Macaca fascicularis: one gene and its partners. The protein of the gene in region 1 purifies or fractionates together with the protein of each later gene. This does not show direct contact. Links are inferred from orthologs where the notes say so. Each region holds a gene or a part of one and is shown in the gene's direction. Other genes may lie near its edges.

Evidence for each region.
Region 2: the proteins of TNFAIP3 (region 1) and MTOR purify together in Homo sapiens (affinity purification with western blotting, with the first as the bait; 3 studies listed by BioGRID). This does not show direct contact. The link is inferred for Macaca fascicularis from reciprocal best matches to the Homo sapiens genes TNFAIP3 and MTOR.
Region 3: the proteins of TNFAIP3 (region 1) and BIRC2 purify together in Homo sapiens (affinity purification with mass spectrometry; 5 studies listed by BioGRID and IntAct, with this or other methods). This does not show direct contact. The link is inferred for Macaca fascicularis from reciprocal best matches to the Homo sapiens genes TNFAIP3 and BIRC2.

Annotation. Positions count from the first base shown.
Region 1 is NC_088378.1:41,917,203-41,922,820, forward strand, and holds part of TNFAIP3 (tumor necrosis factor alpha-induced protein 3), read left to right. Parts: intron 1-166; coding exon 167-347; intron 348-1,545; coding exon 1,546-2,465; intron 2,466-3,184; coding exon 3,185-3,366; intron 3,367-4,146; coding exon 4,147-4,431; 3' UTR 4,432-5,618. UniProt on the Homo sapiens protein: Ubiquitin-editing enzyme that contains both ubiquitin ligase and deubiquitinase activities.
Region 2 is NC_088375.1:223,550,120-223,556,193, forward strand, and holds part of MTOR (serine/threonine-protein kinase mTOR), read left to right. Parts: intron 1-621; exon of another isoform or gene 622-648; 5' UTR 649-662; coding exon 663-824; intron 825-1,477; coding exon 1,478-1,586; intron 1,587-2,880; coding exon 2,881-3,113; intron 3,114-3,853; coding exon 3,854-4,054; intron 4,055-6,041; coding exon 6,042-6,074. UniProt on the Homo sapiens protein: Serine/threonine protein kinase which is a central regulator of cellular metabolism, growth and survival in response to hormones, growth factors, nutrients, energy and stress signals.
Region 3 is NC_088388.1:101,371,592-101,377,665, forward strand, and holds part of BIRC2 (baculoviral IAP repeat-containing protein 2), read left to right. Parts: intron 1-1,826; coding exon 1,827-1,905; intron 1,906-2,593; coding exon 2,594-2,642; intron 2,643-6,074. UniProt on the Homo sapiens protein: Multi-functional protein which regulates not only caspases and apoptosis, but also modulates inflammatory signaling and immunity, mitogenic kinase signaling, and cell proliferation, as well as cell invasion and metastasis.

The DNA of each region.
Region 1 (5,618 bases):
TTAGATTGTAGCACATTCTGTTTTCCCTTTTGGGTTTAACTGTGGCTGAGAATAGTTTTCTATTCTGTAAATTATATATTTTACACACTTTCAAAATGCGATCTACTTACCTATGGCCTTGTTTAGTAGAATACGATTTTACTTATGTGTTATTTTTTTCCCTCAGAAATCCGAGCTGTTCCACTTGTTAACAGAGACCGAGGAAGATTTGAAGACTTGAAAGTTCACTTTTTGACAGATCCTGAAAATGAGATGAAGGAGAAGCTCTTAAAAGAGTACTTAATGGTGATAGAAATCCCTGTCCAAGGCTGGGACCATGGCACAACTCATCTCATCAATGCCGCAAAGTAAGCAGTTTATGTTCAGCTCTCTCCTGTGTCATCTGTAACTGTCTTTAACCTCAGCCGCCTGAGTTGCTGCCACCCTGAAGCTCAACAGTAGAGTGATTTGTGGCCAGTTTCTGCCAGTGGGAAACAAATTCAGAGCCTTGTGCATGGTTAGAGAGGATTCTGTAAGGCCGTACTAACTTGGGTTTCAAATCGAAATAAGTCATTTATCCATATTGAGTTTCCTAGATATCTGGATCCCAAAAGCCAGAATTGCAGAATTATGGGTTTTCAAAGTGCATTTACATCAAGGATAGTTGTTGTTTTTTGTTTTTGTATTTTAATTACTCTGGTACGTATTAAAAAGACTAGCAAGTGAAAACACTTGGAAACAAAAAGCTTTCTCTCTTGGCTTCTTGGTAAGAACAGGCACATCAGACATAGCTGGGGCTGTAGAATTGTTCCTGTTGCAGCTCATGATTCTGCCACATGGAATGGGAGGAAAGCCCCAGAATGCCCATTGTGCAGGTATCTGGTCTTTAAACGTTGGCTTTATGTTAAAGAGATGCCTGTTTCTGAGCACTTGAGACGCACAAGAGATGACAAGGAGGCCGTAAGAGAATCTGTCTCTCAACGTGGAGATTAGCAAATTACAGAGTCAACAGTAAATAGGCAAGTGCCTTTGAGTGTGTCTGCATCTTAGTTACTCATGGCTGCTAATGCTGGTGGAGACCAGACACAAGTTTAAAGTTAGTAATAGCAAAATACCCAACCTGAGGTTCCAAAGTAGTTTGTGCTATAAAGTAGACTAGTCCCAAACGAATGGCCTGAGTGATGTTTTACTCAAAACTTGATCTCTGAGAAATTAAAGAGTCAGCTGATATTTTTTTTTTTTTTTTTTTTTTTTAGCCCTTGTTTTAAAACTATCTATAATTTTTGGATGGACCAAGATTGATTAAATGAAACTGTGATTTTAAAAATAAGGAAGTCTTAGCAAACTAACTGACATCATTCTTGACTCTAGAACGTGTTGGGAAATGTGTCAGATCATGTTACATGAAAAGTGTGAGCTCTTCATCACAGGCCTGCGTTTCAGTTAATGGTTCTGCAATTCTTGCCATAATCCATATTCTAAAACTTTGTTCTGTAGGCTAATGATGTAAAATCTTGTGTGTGATTTTGTGTAGTCTCATACATATTTTTTCTTTTTGGTCTTCAGGTTGGATGAAGCTAACTTACCAAAAGAAATCAATCTGGTAGATGATTACTTTGAGCTTGTTCAGCATGAGTACAAGAAATGGCAGGAAAACAGCGAGCAGGGGAGGAGCGAGATGCATGCCCAGAATCCCATGGAATCTTCCCTGCCCCAGCTTTCTCTCATGGATGTAAAATGTGAAACGCCCAACTGTCCCTTCTTCATGTCTGTGAACACCCAGCCTTTATGCCATGAGTGCTCAGAGAGGCGGCAAAAGAATCAAAACAAACTCCCAAAGCTGAACTCCAAGCCGGGCCCCGAGGGGCTCCCTGGCATGGCGCTCGGGGCCTCTCGGGGAGAAGCCTATGAGCCCTTGGCGTGGAACCCCGAGGAGCCCACTGGGGGGCCTCATTCTGCTCCACCGACAGCACCCAGCCCTTTTCTGTTCAGTGAGACCACTGCCATGAAGTGCAGGAGCCCCGGCTGCCCCTTCACACTGAATGTGCAGCACAACGGATTTTGTGAACGTTGCCACAACGCCCGGCAACTTCACGCCAGCCACGCCGCAGACCACACAAGGCACTTGGATCCCGGGAAGTGCCAAGCCTGCCTCCAGGATGTCACCAGGACATTTAATGGGATCTGCAGTACTTGCTTCAAAAGGACTACAGCAGAGGCCTCCTCCAGCCTCAGCACCAGCCTCCCTCCCTCCTGTCACCAGCGTTCCAAGTCAGATCCCTCACAGCTCGTCCGGAGCCCCTCCCCGCATTCTTGCCACAGAGCTGGAAATGACGCCCCCGCTGGCTGCCTGTCTCAAGCTGCACGGACTCCGGGGGACAGGACGGGGACCAGCAAGTGCAGAAAAGCTGGCTGCATGTATTTTGGGACTCCAGAAAACAAGGGCTTTTGCACACTGTGTTTCATCGAGTACAGAGAAAACAAACGTGAGTGAAATGGTTGACTTCCTAACATAGCAGCTACTGTCCAGAAGAGGTTTTGTTCCTGACCTTTAAGGAAAAAATCCCGTGTGGGCAGTCAGGCAGAGTGGTCAGGACCTACCGTGCTTTTCTACTGGCTTGTGCATGGGACAGCCACGGTGGCCCTGCCAGCTGCCCATGGAGGCAAAAGGCACTGCGTGGTTGTAGCAGCTCCTAATATCACATTCCAAAAACCAGAGTGCCCTGTAGACAGAGCTCATGGGATTTTCTTTTACTAGACTGTTCAGGTCTGGCGTATCTAAGACAGTCTTAAACTAGACTTCTTTTGCAACTTAGATATAATAGAACAATCTTAAAATCTGAAGAGTAGTAACTGGAGAGAAGGAAGTCTCTCTTGACACTGTAAGGAAACAGATGTGGTTTTGGAAATCTCTCGTTTGAAAGAAGGGTGACCAGGTAATGCCTGCTCTTTGCCCTGTTCCTGTGACCAATCGGTGCTTCAAGTTCAAAATGAGAGATTGGTAAAGCCAAAGATGTTTCCATAATAGTGTTGTTATTATTTCTTTTGCTGAATTTATATACTTAAATATGTACATATATATATTTCTATATATTTAAGGCTGGCCTAATCTGTATTTGGAACCCATTTATTTCTCTAATGTCAGCATCTCTGTATCTGTGGGGTGACCCCTATGTGGTACTAACTAGCATCCACTCTCGTGTAGATTTGGTCGCTGCCTCAGGGAAAGCCAGTCCCACAGCCTCCAGGTTCCAGAACACCATTCCGTGCCTGGGGAGGGAGTGCGGCACCCTTGGAAGCACCATGTTTGAAGGATACTGCCAGAAGTGTTTCATTGAAGCTCAGAATCAGAGATTTCATGAGGCCAAAAGGACAGAAGAGCAACTGGTGAGACATTTTGAGGAGTTTTCCCTCCCTCCCGTGTGTCCGGTGCTTTTTACTGGAGCGTTGGCTTCCGACAGTGACAAGCAGGCTTTCGTCTCTGCCAGGTTCTGTCCCCTCATGATAAAGGATTAGTTCAGAACCTGAAGGGGAATGTCCATGTCACTGTGGCTCCCCAGGTCCGAAATGCTGCCACCGATTTTCATGCTCCAAGAATACTTTTGAATTTATTTTAAAAACAAAGAAACACAGCCATTGCATAAAACTTCTTCCAGCCCCCAGAAAGCCAGACCGTGATCAGAGCCTTCTTTGATTTGTAAGAGAAGCACAGACATCTAAAAAGCAGCCCTTCTTAAATAATCGTTTATCACAAGGAGCGAACAGACCGAGCTTGCCGGGGGCCTGCGCTTAATGGTACATCAGAAAAGCCAGCTTTGACAGATACAGGTGTGTCGCCTGTTGTTCACATAATGGTAGAGAAGCTATCTAAGAGCAGTGGTTATTGGTCCCAACAGAAGAGAGCCAGGGAAAGTTTGCAGACCAACTTAGGCTTGACGGTTTTCCTCAGCCTCCCTGGGGGCCAAGTCAGCTTTCCTTGAGATTGGAAGGAAACATCCTTCAAGAGCTCTGGCTCATAGACTGCGGTGCTCTCCTGTTCCCTTGCTCAGGCAGGTAAAGCTCTTTGTAGACTCCACACTATCCAATGAGATTTCACTGTGCTGTCCCTAAGAAATGTGAGCAATAGTTTCCTGACTTTTTAATGATCCGTCTGTTCTTTCCACTCAGAGATCGAGCCAGCGCAGAGATGTGCCTCGAACCACACAGAGCACCTCAAGGCCCAAGTGCGCCCGGGCCTCCTGCAAGAACATCCTGGCCTGCCGCAGCGAGGAGCTCTGCATGGAGTGCCAGCATCCCAACCCGAGGATGGGCCCCGGGGCCCACCGGGGTGAGCCTGCCCCCGAAGACCCCCCCAAGCAGCGCTGCCGGGCCCCCGCCTGTGATCACTTTGGCAATGCCAAGTGCAACGGCTACTGCAACGAGTGCTTTCAGTTCAAGCAGATGTATGGCTAACCGGAAACAGGCGGGTCACCTCCTGCAAGAAGTGGGGCCTCGAGCTGTCAGTCATCATGGTGCTATCCTCTGAACCCTCAGCTGCCACTGCAACAGCGGGCTCAAGGGTGTCTGAGCAGGAGAGGAAAGATAAGCTCTTTGTGGTGCCCACGATGCTCAGGTTTGGTAACCAGGGAGTGTTCCCAGGTGGCCTTAGAAAGCAAAGCTTGTAACTGGCAAGGGATGATGTCAGATTCAGCCCAAGGTTCCTCCTCTCCTACCAAGCAAGAGGCCAGGAACTTCTTTGGACTTGGAAGGTGTGCGGGGACTGGCCGAGGCGCCTGCACCCTGCCCGTCAGGACTGCTTCATCATCTTGGCTGAGAAGGGAAAAGACACGCAGTTGGGTGGGTTGGAGAAGCCAGAGCCAGTCTACCTCCCCTCCCGTAGCATCTCTCAGAGATGTGAAGCCAGATCCTCATGGCAGCGAGGCCCTCTGCAAGAAGCTCAAGGAAGCTCAGGGAAAATGGACGTATTCAGAGAGTGTTTGTAGTTCATGGTTTTTTCCCTACCTGCCCGGGTGCTTTCCTGAGGACCCGGCAGAAATGCAGAACCATCCATGGACTGTGATTCTGAGGCTGCTGAGACTGAACACGTTCACGTTGACAGAAAAACAAGCTGCTCTTTACAATATGCACCTTTTAAAAGAATATTTTAGTGGGAAGACGTGTAACTCTTTGGGTTATTACTGTCTTTACTTCTAAAGAAGTAAGCTTGAACTGAGGAGTAAAAGTGTGTACATTTATAGTATACCCTTACATTATGTATGAGGGATTTTTTTTTTTTAAATTATATTGAAATGCTGCCCTAGAAGTATAATAGGAAGGCTAAATAATAATAACCTGTTTTCTGGTTGTTGTTGGGGCATGAGCTTGTATATACACTGCTTGCATAAACTCAACCAGCTGCCTTTTTAAAGGGAGCTCTAGTCCTGTTTGTGTCATTCACTTTATTTATTTTATTACAAACTTCGAGATTATTTAAGTGAAGATATTTCTTCAGCTCTGGGGAAAACGCTGCAGTGTCCTCTTGAGAGAACATATTTGCTTTGAGTCAGGTTGTGGGCAAGTTCCTGACCACAGCGGGTAAATTGGCCTCTTGGGTACACTTTGCTTGCCTCCCCGGGAAAGAAGGAATTGCATCCAAGGTA
Region 2 (6,074 bases), on another chromosome or scaffold:
TATATGCCCTGCACTGTTTTAAATACTTTTTGACATGTATTAACTCATTTAGTCCTCACATCAACCCATGAACTAGGTACTATTATCTTCCTATTGTAGTTGAAGAAACATTTTTAGTGTCTTTCTCAAGGTATATAACCTTGTTTTTGTTTTCGTTTGTTTTTGTTTGAGACAGTGGAGTGGCAGGATCTTGGCTCAGGGCAACCTCCCGTCCCAGGTTCAAGTGATTCTCCTGCCTCAGCCTCCCGGGTGGCACATGCCACTACGCCCAGCTAAGTTTTGTATTTTTAGTAGAGATGGGATTTCACCATGTTGGCCAGGCTGGTTTCGAACTCCTGACCTCAGGTGGTCCTCCTGACTCGGCCTCCAAAACTGCTCAAGGTATCTAACCCAAGGATTCAAACCCAAGTAGGCTAGCTCCCATAGCCCGCAATTTGACCCTCCCTACCACACTGCCTCTTTTAAACATCAGTCATTGTTTAATGAATCTAGGCTTTCTAAATGTTCCTCAATAAGATCTCTCAACCTTTTTAGAATCCCCTGCCTGACAAGGGCTTGGGGGAGATCTGTGTTGGATGACCAGGGCCATAAGTAAATTTATCACCATACTTTCTTGTTTAGAATATTAAAGGAAACTTCTCTTTAAAGAACCTCAGGGCAAGATGCTTGGAACCGGACCTGCCGCCGCCACCACCGCTGCCACCACATCTAGCAATGTGAGTGTTCTACAGCAGTTTGCCAGTGGCCTGAAGAGCCGGAATGAAGAGACCAGGGCCAAAGCTGCCAAGGAGCTCCAGCACTATGTCACCATGGAACTCCGAGAGGTGCTTCTGCGATTTGGGGCCAGTCATTGTGGGATGTTTGGGCTAAATGTATCATCACTGGTTTAGACTTTTTTTGGACAGCTAAGCGAGGATTTGGAAAACAGAGATTATTTTAGAAAGGCACTCAACCTCTCACATCCATAAAACATGCAGGTTCTTTTGCAGCAGTTGCACATTTCTGTGGCATTTTTCTTGTTTGTGGTCACATTTTAGGGGCCAGAATAGACTTAGCTGTTTCTTTTAGCTTTTTCTTTTTTCCTTACCACATACCACACCCTCAAATGCTTTCTGTCTGATAACAGTGATTGGGATGGGTTTGGAGAGTTGAGAACTAGGGACTTTCTAAATAGAGACCAGACTTGAGGTCAGAGACAGTATCTTGTTTATCCTTGTATCCCTGGTACTAGAAAGAACCTAGGACAGAACATTTTCTGCCACAGAGTAGATACCCAATAAATATTTGTTAAATAATCAGAGGATTGCAAGTTCAGGTGCTCTACAGTGTAATCCTGTAGAAGTGGGCAGTAGCTTGTCTTCTTTGGTTTGAACTATACTGCCTGCCTCTCAGGATCTAATCTTTAGATGCCAGCCCACTCCCACCACCACAGTCAGAGAATTACTAGAAATTGTTCTGATTATATCTTCTTTTGCAGATGAGTCAAGAGGAGTCTACTCGCTTCTATGACCAGCTGAACCATCACATTTTTGAATTGGTTTCCAGCTCAGATGCCAATGAGAGGAAAGGTGGCATCTTGGCCATAGGTAAGGACAGAGTCTCTGGCCACAAAAACAACACACTCACCTTTGTGCCCATTGCACCCTGTGTCTGCCACTTACTGGATGCTAGTTCATATTTGCTTAATGAAATTTAAGAAGCCTGTGGCTTTTAATTCTAGCAGCAGTCCTGGGCTACAGGAAAAACGTATTTTTAGATGTGGAGGTGGAGTCTCAGAACCATTGAGTGACTTTTCAGACAGTTTACCAGAGCTGAGACTGGAAGCCAGCTTTCTTTTCCCTCCTTCATGTTGCGTTTTGTGGGCTCTGGTTCCTCAGTAGAGCAGGGTTTTGCATAGTGGGGCTCACGAATGGAAAAGTGGAATCGGTATAGTTAATAAAAAGCAGGTCTCTTTTTTTTTGAGATGGAATCTTACTCTGTTGCCCAGGCTGGAGTGCAGTGGTGCAATCTTGGCTCGTGGCAACCTCCGCCTCCTGGGTTCAAACGATTCTCGTGCCTCAGCCTCCCGAGTAGCTGGGATTACAGGCACCTGCCACCATGCCCGGCTAGTGTTTGTACTTTTAGTAGAGACAGGGTTTCACCATGTTAGGCAGGCTGGTCTCGAACTCCTGACCTCGAGTGATCTGCCCACCTCAGCCTCCCAGAGTGCTGGGATTACAGGTGTGAGCCACCACACCTGGCCAGGCAGGTCATTTTTAACTTCTAAGGACTGGTCATCAGTCCTGTGAATTATTATCCAGTCTCACTTGCTTTCCCTTTTTGGGGGACTAGGGAGGAAAATTATACTAGCATAAGATTATTTTGCTGTATGTAAATATTTCTGGCATAAGTATTAAATATCTGGGTTAAAATAAAAATTGTGTCCTTGCCCTCTAGAAGTGTACTCAAAGTAGAATGGAGGGATCACTTGCCAGCTTTTTTTTCTTTTTTTTTTTCCTGAGACAGAGTCTTGCTCTGTCACCCAGGCTGGAGTGCAATGGCGCAATGTCGGCTCACTGCAACCTCCGCCTCCCGGGTTCAAGCAATTCTCTTGCCTCAGCTTCCCAAGTAGCTGGGACTACAGGCGCATGCCGCCACACCCGACTAATTTTTTGTTGTTGTTGTTGTATTTTAGTGGAGAAGGGGTTTCACCATATTGCCCAGGCTGGTCTCGAACTCCTGAGCTCAGGCAATCCGCCCACCTTGGCCTCCCAAAGTGCTAGGATTACAGGCTTGAGCCACTGCGCCTGGCCAGCACTTGCCAGCTTTTAGTTGAAGTCTGTGTACTTTCCTGGTCAGCCTATGCCCCATCATCACCTTTTGCCTTCCTCTCTTTTCCAGCCAGCCTCATAGGAGTGGAAGGTGGGAATGCCACCCGAATTGGCAGATTTGCCAACTATCTTCGGAACCTCCTCCCCTCCAATGACCCAGTTGTCATGGAAATGGCATCCAAGGCCATCGGCCGCCTTGCCATGGCAGGAGACACTTTCACCGCTGAGTATGTGGAATTTGAGGTGAAGCGAGCCCTGGAATGGCTGGGTGCTGACCGCAATGAGGGCCGGAGACACGCAGCTGTGAGTGCCTGCAGGGAGGAGCACAGCCAGGCTTGGGGAGCGATGGTGTCATGGTGGGGTCTTTTGCTTCCTTCTGAGGCTCATCCCTGAAAAAGGCTGGTTAGAAGGGCTAGGATTCCAGGCTGTGAGATGGGGTAGAGTCCGTCCTTAAGAGAGAATCTAGCAGTGGTGTGGTAGGGATCAGAAGCATCAGCCGCATGCTTTCCAGTCTGCTGCCCTTCAGAGGAGGCACTACTGTGAGGGGGGGGCATGGTACCAGGAGAAGGACACACACTTGGACCCTGGCTCAAGTCTTGGCTTTACAACTTCCTACCTAACTCTGTAACCTGGGGCAGCTTCTGACCTTCAGTTTCTTCCTCTGTCAAATAAAAATAACAACAAGATTAAACATTAAACAGGATTATCCATTCAATAATTGTTTACTACATACCTACAGTATTCCAGGTAGAGTTCTATGCTATTAGTATAGTGATATAGAAAGCATAAAACACATCTGCACTTCCAGAGCTTATATTCAAACATTACAAGCATTCTGTGTTTGTAAACAACTTAGGATAATGACCACTGAGATGTTTAATCAAATTTACTTTCTTCCTCTGTCCCCAGAATTTCCTAGCTGGAAGAGTGAGCAAGCCTTCTCTGTTCCTAGTGTGTATGGCTCTAAGATGATAAAAGACCGTACTCCTGAGAGAACAAAGCACTGGTACCGACGAGAGTTCTCGGTTTGTCTTTTTCTCTAGGTCCTGGTTCTCCGTGAGCTGGCCATCAGCGTCCCTACCTTCTTCTTCCAGCAAGTGCAGCCCTTCTTTGACAACATTTTTGTGGCTGTGTGGGACCCCAAACAAGCCATCCGTGAGGGAGCTGTGGCCGCCCTTCGTGCCTGTTTGATTCTCACCACCCAGCGTGAGCCGAAGGAGATGCAGAAGCCTCAGTGGTACAGGGTGAGGAGATGGGTCCATTCCCAACACTAGGAAAGCACGTCTACATAGAGAATCACCTGGCCTAAGGGGCAGCCACAGGCCCTTGCTATGGAGCAAGCATCAGTTTTTGTTTTGGTCTCAAATGAATTTTTTTTTTTTTTTTGAGCTGGATTGCCCAGGCTGAAGTGCAGTTGCACAATCTCAGCTCATCGCAACCTCTGCCTCTCGGGTTCAAGCGATTCTCCCACCTTAGCCTCCCGAATAGCTAGGACTACAGGCGTGTACCACCACGCCTAGCTAATTTTTGTCATAGAAACAGGGTTTTTCCATGTTGACCAGGCTGGTCTCGAATTCCCAACCTCAGGTGATCCACCTGCCTTGGCCTCCCAAAGTGCTAGGATTACAAGCATGAACTACCGTGCCCGGTCTCCAGTGAATTTTTTATGCTCAGTATGAATCAATAGTTACTTTATTGCATTTTTTTTAAAGCAAACATATATGGATTGCCACACCATTATTCTATACGTTATTTTATGTATGACTAAGAATGCAAATATGCCACTTAAACTGTGACTTGGTACCTCTTTTTTTCTTTTTTTTTTTTTTTTGAGTCTGGGTCTTGCTCAGTCACCAGGCTGGAGTTCAGTGGTACGATTTTGGCTCACTGCATCCTCTGCCTCCTGGGTTCAAGTGATTCTCCTGCCTCAGCCTCCCGAGTACCTGGGACTATAGGCATGTGCCATTATGCCCAGCTAATTTTTGTATTTTCAGTAGAGATGGGATTTCACCGTGTTGGCCAGGACGGTCTCGATCTCTTGACCTCGTGATCCACCCGCCTCGGCCTCCCAAAGTGCTGGGATTACAGGCATGAGCCACTGTGCCCGGCTGACTTTGTACCTTCTTCTTATCAATAATTATAAGACATCTCAGCCGGATTCTTATGCCTGTAATCCCAAAACTTTGGGAGGCCAAGGCAGAAGGATTGCTTGAGCTCAGGAGTTTGAGACCAGCCTGGGCAGCATGTGGGACCCCATCTCTACAAAAAATAAAAAAATTAGCTGGGCCTCGTGTCACATGCCTGTGGTCCCAGCTATTTGAGAGGCTGAGGCGGGAGAATTGCTTGAGCCCAAGAGATCAAGGCTGCAGTGAGTCCTGATCACACCACTGCACTCTAGCCTTGGCAATGAAGTGAGACTCTGTCTCGGAAAAAAAAGACATCTCTTTTCAGAGATGTTAAAATATGGAAAAATAGGTGTCTTAAAATCAGTGTGATACAAATGATACCAATTTAGAAAGTGCCAGTTCTCTCTGTTCTAGTATCATGAGGCCTGTGCTGATTACTGCTGCAGAGGGAACTTATCAGTGAGTCTTATATTAGAAAAAGAGCTCTGAACATGGGATTGAGAGACCTGGGTTCCAGTCTTGCCTTTGCTGTGTTATCTTGGACAAGTCACTTAAATTCTTTGAGTCTGTGTTTTTAGCTGTTAAATAGAGATGATGATGGTATCTTCCTCAAAGGCTTATTATGAGAACTGAAGCCAGGGCCGGGCGTGGTGGCTCACACCTGTAATCACAGCACTTTGGGAGGCTGAGGTGGGTGGATAACTTGAGGTCAGGAGTTTGAGACCAGCCTGGTTAATATGGTGAAGCCCTATCTCTACTAAAAATACAAAAATTAGCTAGGCGTGGTGGTGTGTGCCTGTAATCTCAGCTACTCGGGGGAACTGAGGCAGGAGAATCACTTGAACCCAGGAGATGGAGATTGTGGAGAGCCGAGATTGCACCACTGCATTCCAGCCTGGGCAACAAAGCAAGACTCGGTCTCAACAAAAAAAAGGAATTGAAGCTGAATTAAATAAAAGAGATTGATCAGTTTTGTCGATAACTGGCACAAGGCACTGAGCAGGCATGGTAACACCTCAGAACCCCCAGTGTAGATGGGATGGGCCTATATTCTTTCTGGGTTTGTAGTCTGTCTCTAATAAAGGCACCCTGTCTCTTTACATAGCACACATTTGAAGAAGCAGAGAAAGGGTTTGAT
Region 3 (6,074 bases), on another chromosome or scaffold:
ACTGTCTCTGGGCAGTGCAAGAGCTGCTTTTTTTCAGGGTGAGGAGTGCGGTAGTGTCTCCCTCTCCAGGGGGTTCACAGCAGTGCTGGGTGCTGGTTACCTTAATGGTGAAAGCTCTCAGTGTCCTCTGCAGAGTAGGCTACTGCAGTTGGCATCAATGAACACTATAGGGTCCTTCACTGTGAAACCTGCAGGAAGTCTGTGGCTATCCTGAGGGTTATTGGGGTCTCCAGGGACCTGCTCTGGGGAGGAGCCTAGCAGTCTTTGCCACTGAGGACTGTGATGGCACTCACCACATGACTGATACAGATAGCCCTCACCCCTTGTTCTTAGCCGTCTCCAGATGTCTCTGCTAAGCAGATCTCCCAGCAGTCCTTTCTGTGTGGTTATTCTCTCTCTTTTTTTTTTTTTTTTTTCCCTCCTCACTGTATTGCTGTAGGCTGATTGGGCTATTGAGTTCTTCCAGAGCTGTATTTGTTTGTGGATAGCTGTCTCTTTATTGTTTTTTGTGGGTGGAAGAAGGCTGGTGTCTCCTAGTCTGCCGTCTTGCTGATGTCACTCTTGCAAACTTTCTTCGAGTGTTGTGGCTTTTCATTTTTTAACATCTTTTGAAGAGCAGATATTTTCAATGTTGATGATGTCAGTTTATCAATTTTATCTTTTGTAGAAGATGTTTTTGGTCTTTTGTCTAATAATTCTTTACCTAATGTAAAGACAAAAGTATTTTTCTCCTGTACTTTTTCCTAGAAGTTTTATTATTTTAGGTTTTATATTTAGGTATATGATCTATTTTTACTTTTATTTTTGCTATTTTTGCATATAATATGGGCATAGGTCAGAGTTTTTTGTTTTTTAAATACGTATATCCTGTTGTAGAGTATCATTTGTTGAAGAAACAAAAGGAGTAGAATGGATATAGATGGTATGTGAACTTCTTGGAACATCTTCAAGAAGCCCTATCAGTTTAAAAACAAATACTTGAGAAACACTGTCACATTATATATAGATAAAAATATTTGATTCCATATTTTTTGGAGGGAAGGTAGTGGATTGTGGCTCAAATGTAATGGAAGAGTGAACATTGAAGAAAGATGAGCAGTTATATTGTGAAAGATCATGTTGTAGGAATACTAAGTTAATAGTATCTGAAACTGTTAAGTAGTTCACTTTAAGCACAAAATAAATTGTGTATAATAGTGTTTTTTGGGAGTCAACTTGTTCCCCTTTGTAGGTGCAGACGCTTTTCTTTTTGTTGTTGTTGTGTTAATGGATTGAATTAGAAAATACCATGATATATTGGCCGGGCGCGGTGGCTCAAGCCTGTAATCCCAGCACTTTGGAGGCCGAGACGGGCGGATCACGAGGTCAGGAGATCGAGACCATCCTGGCTAACACGGTGAAACCCCGTCTCTACTAAAAAAATACAAAAAACTAGCCGGGCGAGGTGGCGGGCGCCTGTAGTCCCAGCTACTCGGGAGGCTGAGGCAGGAGAATGGTCTAAACCCGAGAGGCAGAGCTTGCAGTGAGCTGAGATCCGGCCACTGCACCCCAGCCTGGGTGACAGAGCAAGACTCTGTCTCAAAAAAAAAAAAAAAAAAAAAAAAAAAAAAAAAAAAAAGAAAATACCATGATATATAACACACAGTAAGATGTATATTGTTTTATGATAATTTTGTTCCCGTTAGATATGTATGTGTTCTGGGTTGTGATGTAAAATGTTTTTACTGTGGGGTACAATGAAAGATTTGAAAGCCATTTTTTCTAGAATGGTCAGGTTATATTGATATGGAACAATTTTAAAAAATAATTTTCCTCATATGTTTTAGGTGTGAGTTCTTGATACGAATGAAAGGTCAAGAGTTTGTTGATGAGATTCAAGGTAGATATCCTCATCTTCTTGAACAGGTAAATATATTTTTAAAATCAACAACTTTGAATTCTGCTTTATAATAAAAATACTATTAGATTGGTGCAAAAGTAATCATGGTTTTTGCCATTGAAAATCATGACCAAAACCGTGACCACTTTTGTACCAACCTGTATTAGAAGTTATACTTATTTCTCTTTTATTAATTGTAGGTACATATTTTCATTGATGTTAATGACAACTTTGATTTTTACTTTTGTAATCAACTTGATTGTTTAGGGCTTTTTAAAAAGATTGTTGTTTGTTTTTACTATTTTGAAAAATCATTTATGCTGCCACTGTACAAATTTGTGATGGGATTAGAGAAGGAGGTTTAGTGTCTCTTTGCTGTTTTCCAGAAAAACAAACAAAAAATAACTTGTTAGGCTCTGAGACCCTTTGAGAGTAACCCAGTTAAAATCTTATTTTCCTAATGGAATGAGAAACCACTGATACATTTTTCTACTTTCCTGAAACTAGAGAAATACTTGAATTCTAATTTGGGATAACATGAAATTTAAGGAAATCTATGTGATTAGGGTGAAAGAAAGCAAAGTAAAGCTCATAAATCACTCAGTTCTCAATAGAATATATACATATACTTAACATAAACTTACTTTAGTGTTGTTCCTTTCAGATTGTTGGGGATATCTGATTTTACCTATTAACTTTTCTCTTGTTTCATAGCTGTTGTCAACTTCGGATACTACTGGAGACGAAAATGCTGACCCACCAAGTATGTATGAAATAATTTTAAGTATAGAGTGTAAATTTTTATAAGAATTTTAGGAATAGGCTGGGTGCAGTGGCTCATGCCTGTAATCCTAACACTTTGAGAGGCCGAGGTTGGCAGATCACCTGAGGTCAGGAGTTCGAGACCAGCCTGGCCAACATAGTAAACCCCGTCTCTACTAAAAATACAAAAATTAGCCAGGCGTGATGCGCCTGTAGTCTCAGCTACTCGGGAGGCTGAGGCAGGAGAATTGCTTGAACCCAGGAGGCGGAGGTTGCAGTGAACTGAGATTGTGCCATTGCACTTCAGCCTGGGCGACAGAGTGAGACTCGGTCTCCAAAAAAAAACAAATGTAGGAATGAAAGTATGTACTTTTTAAAAGAGTTTCTGAAGCCATAGGGAAAAATACTGGGAAGTCAGCTAATAAATATTTTATATATATATATATATATGCTTACACACTAGTTTTTGTTCTAGTGCTATACTTACCACTTTTAGTGCTGACATTCCAACTGGAGAAATGAGACATAAGCAAAAGAAAAACAACAGATAGCTTGAAGCAATGCCAAATAAGCGGTGCAAATAATAAGCCCCCCAGATAATAAGCCCCCCAGAAAAGAAAAGGTTGCTGTGAGCTAGCATGATTTGGAAAAGCAGTTCACATATGATTTACGAATTGGACTAGATGTTAGGTATTTAAGTCAGGTATGTTGTATTTCAACGCAAGGGCAGGAAATAGTATAGCTTTTGATTAGAGCTTAATGTTAGCCACATCTGCCAGTTTATGTAATATACATATGTTATGGTGTCTAAAATGGCTAAGGTAATAATCCACTGTTTTATGTACCAAGGGCCATTCTGTTTGTGGCACAGCATTTCAAGAAAGATACTGGTAGATTTGTTAACTGGACCAGAGAAAGGTGACCAAGATGTATGAATCTTAGAAACCATGGCTCAGGAGGACTGGATGAAGGATTTGGTAGTATTTGACTGGGAAATAGGAAGGAGAGTACCTGGGTACATGACAGCTATCTCTTGTGTAATGGACCTAGAAAAGATAGATAGCAGTGTGGGCTGTTCTTAAAATTTTTAACCACTGCTGTCAAGTAGGCTCCCCTGAAGTTCTACCGTAGTTCCTAATAAAATCACTTTGTCAATCTTTAAATGACTGTTTCTTGTTTTCTTTCTTGGTAATTTTCTAACACTCTCTTCCCACCTTGTCAGTTTATAACCTTGCTTCCCTAAGAAAATAGAATCCAAAAGAGAGCTGCTTTATTGCCTCACCAGCAAAACCACAAGGCTACATAATTTATCCTTGTACTTTTCTTTCTGTTCGTTCATAAGAGATGAATTGTTCTTTCCTTTTTCTAAGGCCAATACTTCCACTTTTCCTCTGTATTCCATCCCCTGCTGCCAACTTAAGAAGGTTACTTTGGCAGTGACATACCCTTTCTCTCGAGTCTTCAATTTTTCCATCTCTCCTGAATCATTCATGTTAGCATATAAACATAATGTACTTTTGCTAATCCTAGGAAAACTTCCATGAACCAATGTCCCCATTCAGCTATTATCTTATTACTCTGCTTCCCTTTACAACAAAATACCTAGGAAGATTTATCTATGCTTACTCTGTTTTACTTTCTCACCTTTCATTCTTTCTCTTACTTGTTCTGCTGGAACTGTTCTTGTCATGGTAACCAAGGACTGCCATGTTAGCAAATCCACCACTTGACCTGTTAACCAGCATTTGATAATCATTGGGTGCTTTGTCTTTCTTTTTTCTTTTTTTGAAACAAGGTCTCACTTTGTCACCTAGGCTGTAGTGTAGTGGTGCCATCATGGCTCACTGTAGCCTTAACTTCCCTGGCTCAGGTGATCCTCTCACCTCAGCTCCCCGAGTAGCTGGGACTACAGGCATGCACCACCACGTTCAGCTAATTGTGTCTCTGTGTGTGTGTGTGTGTGTGTGTGTTTTGTAGATGCAGGGTTTCACCATGTTGCCCAGGCTGGTCTCAAACTCTTGAACTTAAGCAATCTGCCTGCCTCGGCCTCCCATAGTGCTGGGATTACAGGCATGAGCCACTGCACTTGGCCTCATCTTTCTTAAGACACGTTTTTTGCTTGACTAATCAGATCCCATACCCTTGGTTTTCTGTTTCTCTGGTTGATCCTGAACAATTTCCTTTGTTGGCTGCTCCTTTTTCAAACTTTAAAATGATGGAGTACCCCTCAAAGCTCAGCTTAAGTTTATTTCTCCATTTCCTGAGCCCCAAGCTGGAATGTCCAGCTGAGTGTTTAAATCTCTACTTGGCTGTAACAGACATCGTAGAGTTAATAGGACCAAACCAGAAATTTTCTCCCCCATTCTTCATTCATCAGATTTGTTCCTTCTTTGATCTTCCCCATCTCAGTTAATGGTACTCATTTCTTAGCATTAAAAGTTGGCTCAAGATAGGTATCATCCCTGATTCCTCTCCTTCCTTTAGTTTTTATATTTAATCTATTAAAGTCTTTTCATTTCTGTCTTCATAACATATGCCAAATCTGACTACATCTCACTGTCTCCACCACTATTAACCTAATCCAAACTACCATCATCTGTGTCTAACATCCTAACAAGTCTTCCTGATTCCAGATTACCCCATTAAAGTACATCTCCACAGAAGATACCTTATTAAAAATATGATTTGCAGATACTTAAAAACAGGTTGAAAAAAGACCTGCATCCAACTTTAACATCTTGCTTTTTCAGAACAATTTAAATTTGTTATGTATGAGAAAGAAATGGAATACAGCTCAAGAAAGAGCTTATTATGCTAAAATTCTCTGATTGGCATAAATCAGGGAACCTCAGCCAAAAATAAATATGTAGAAAAAAGCTGCAGTCAGTGGTTCTCAACTAGAAGCAATTGAGAGGGGTAGAAAAGGAGGGTTGGTTTCGAAATTACTGGAGGACTGCTACCAGCACTTAGTGGATGTGAAACAAGCATGTTGTTCTGTAACATGTGAGACAGTCCTAAGAGTTCCATTGAGAAATAATGCAGGTGACTAACATTCCCAAATACCTGATGCCATTTCTTCAGCTTGTCTTTCCTTCTCCTCTTCTCTTTTTTCATCTTCAGCATTAAGAAGTCATCTTCTGAAACACAAGTCAAGTTTTATCAATTGCATGCTTAAAACACTCCTGGAATAGTCTACCAAAATTAGAATAAAATATAAACTCTTAGGAAGGCTCTGCTCATCTGGGCATTGTCCTCTTTTACCTTCTGCCACCTTCTTTCTGTTTCTTGATCATGTCAAGCTTTTCACTTAATTTAAGGCTTTTACACTTGCTATTCTCTTTGCTTAGAAGACTTCTTTGACATATTTCCATAGCTTACTCCTTCCCCCCCAAGTATTAATAATTGCACATGTAATAGATGTATACATTCTTCA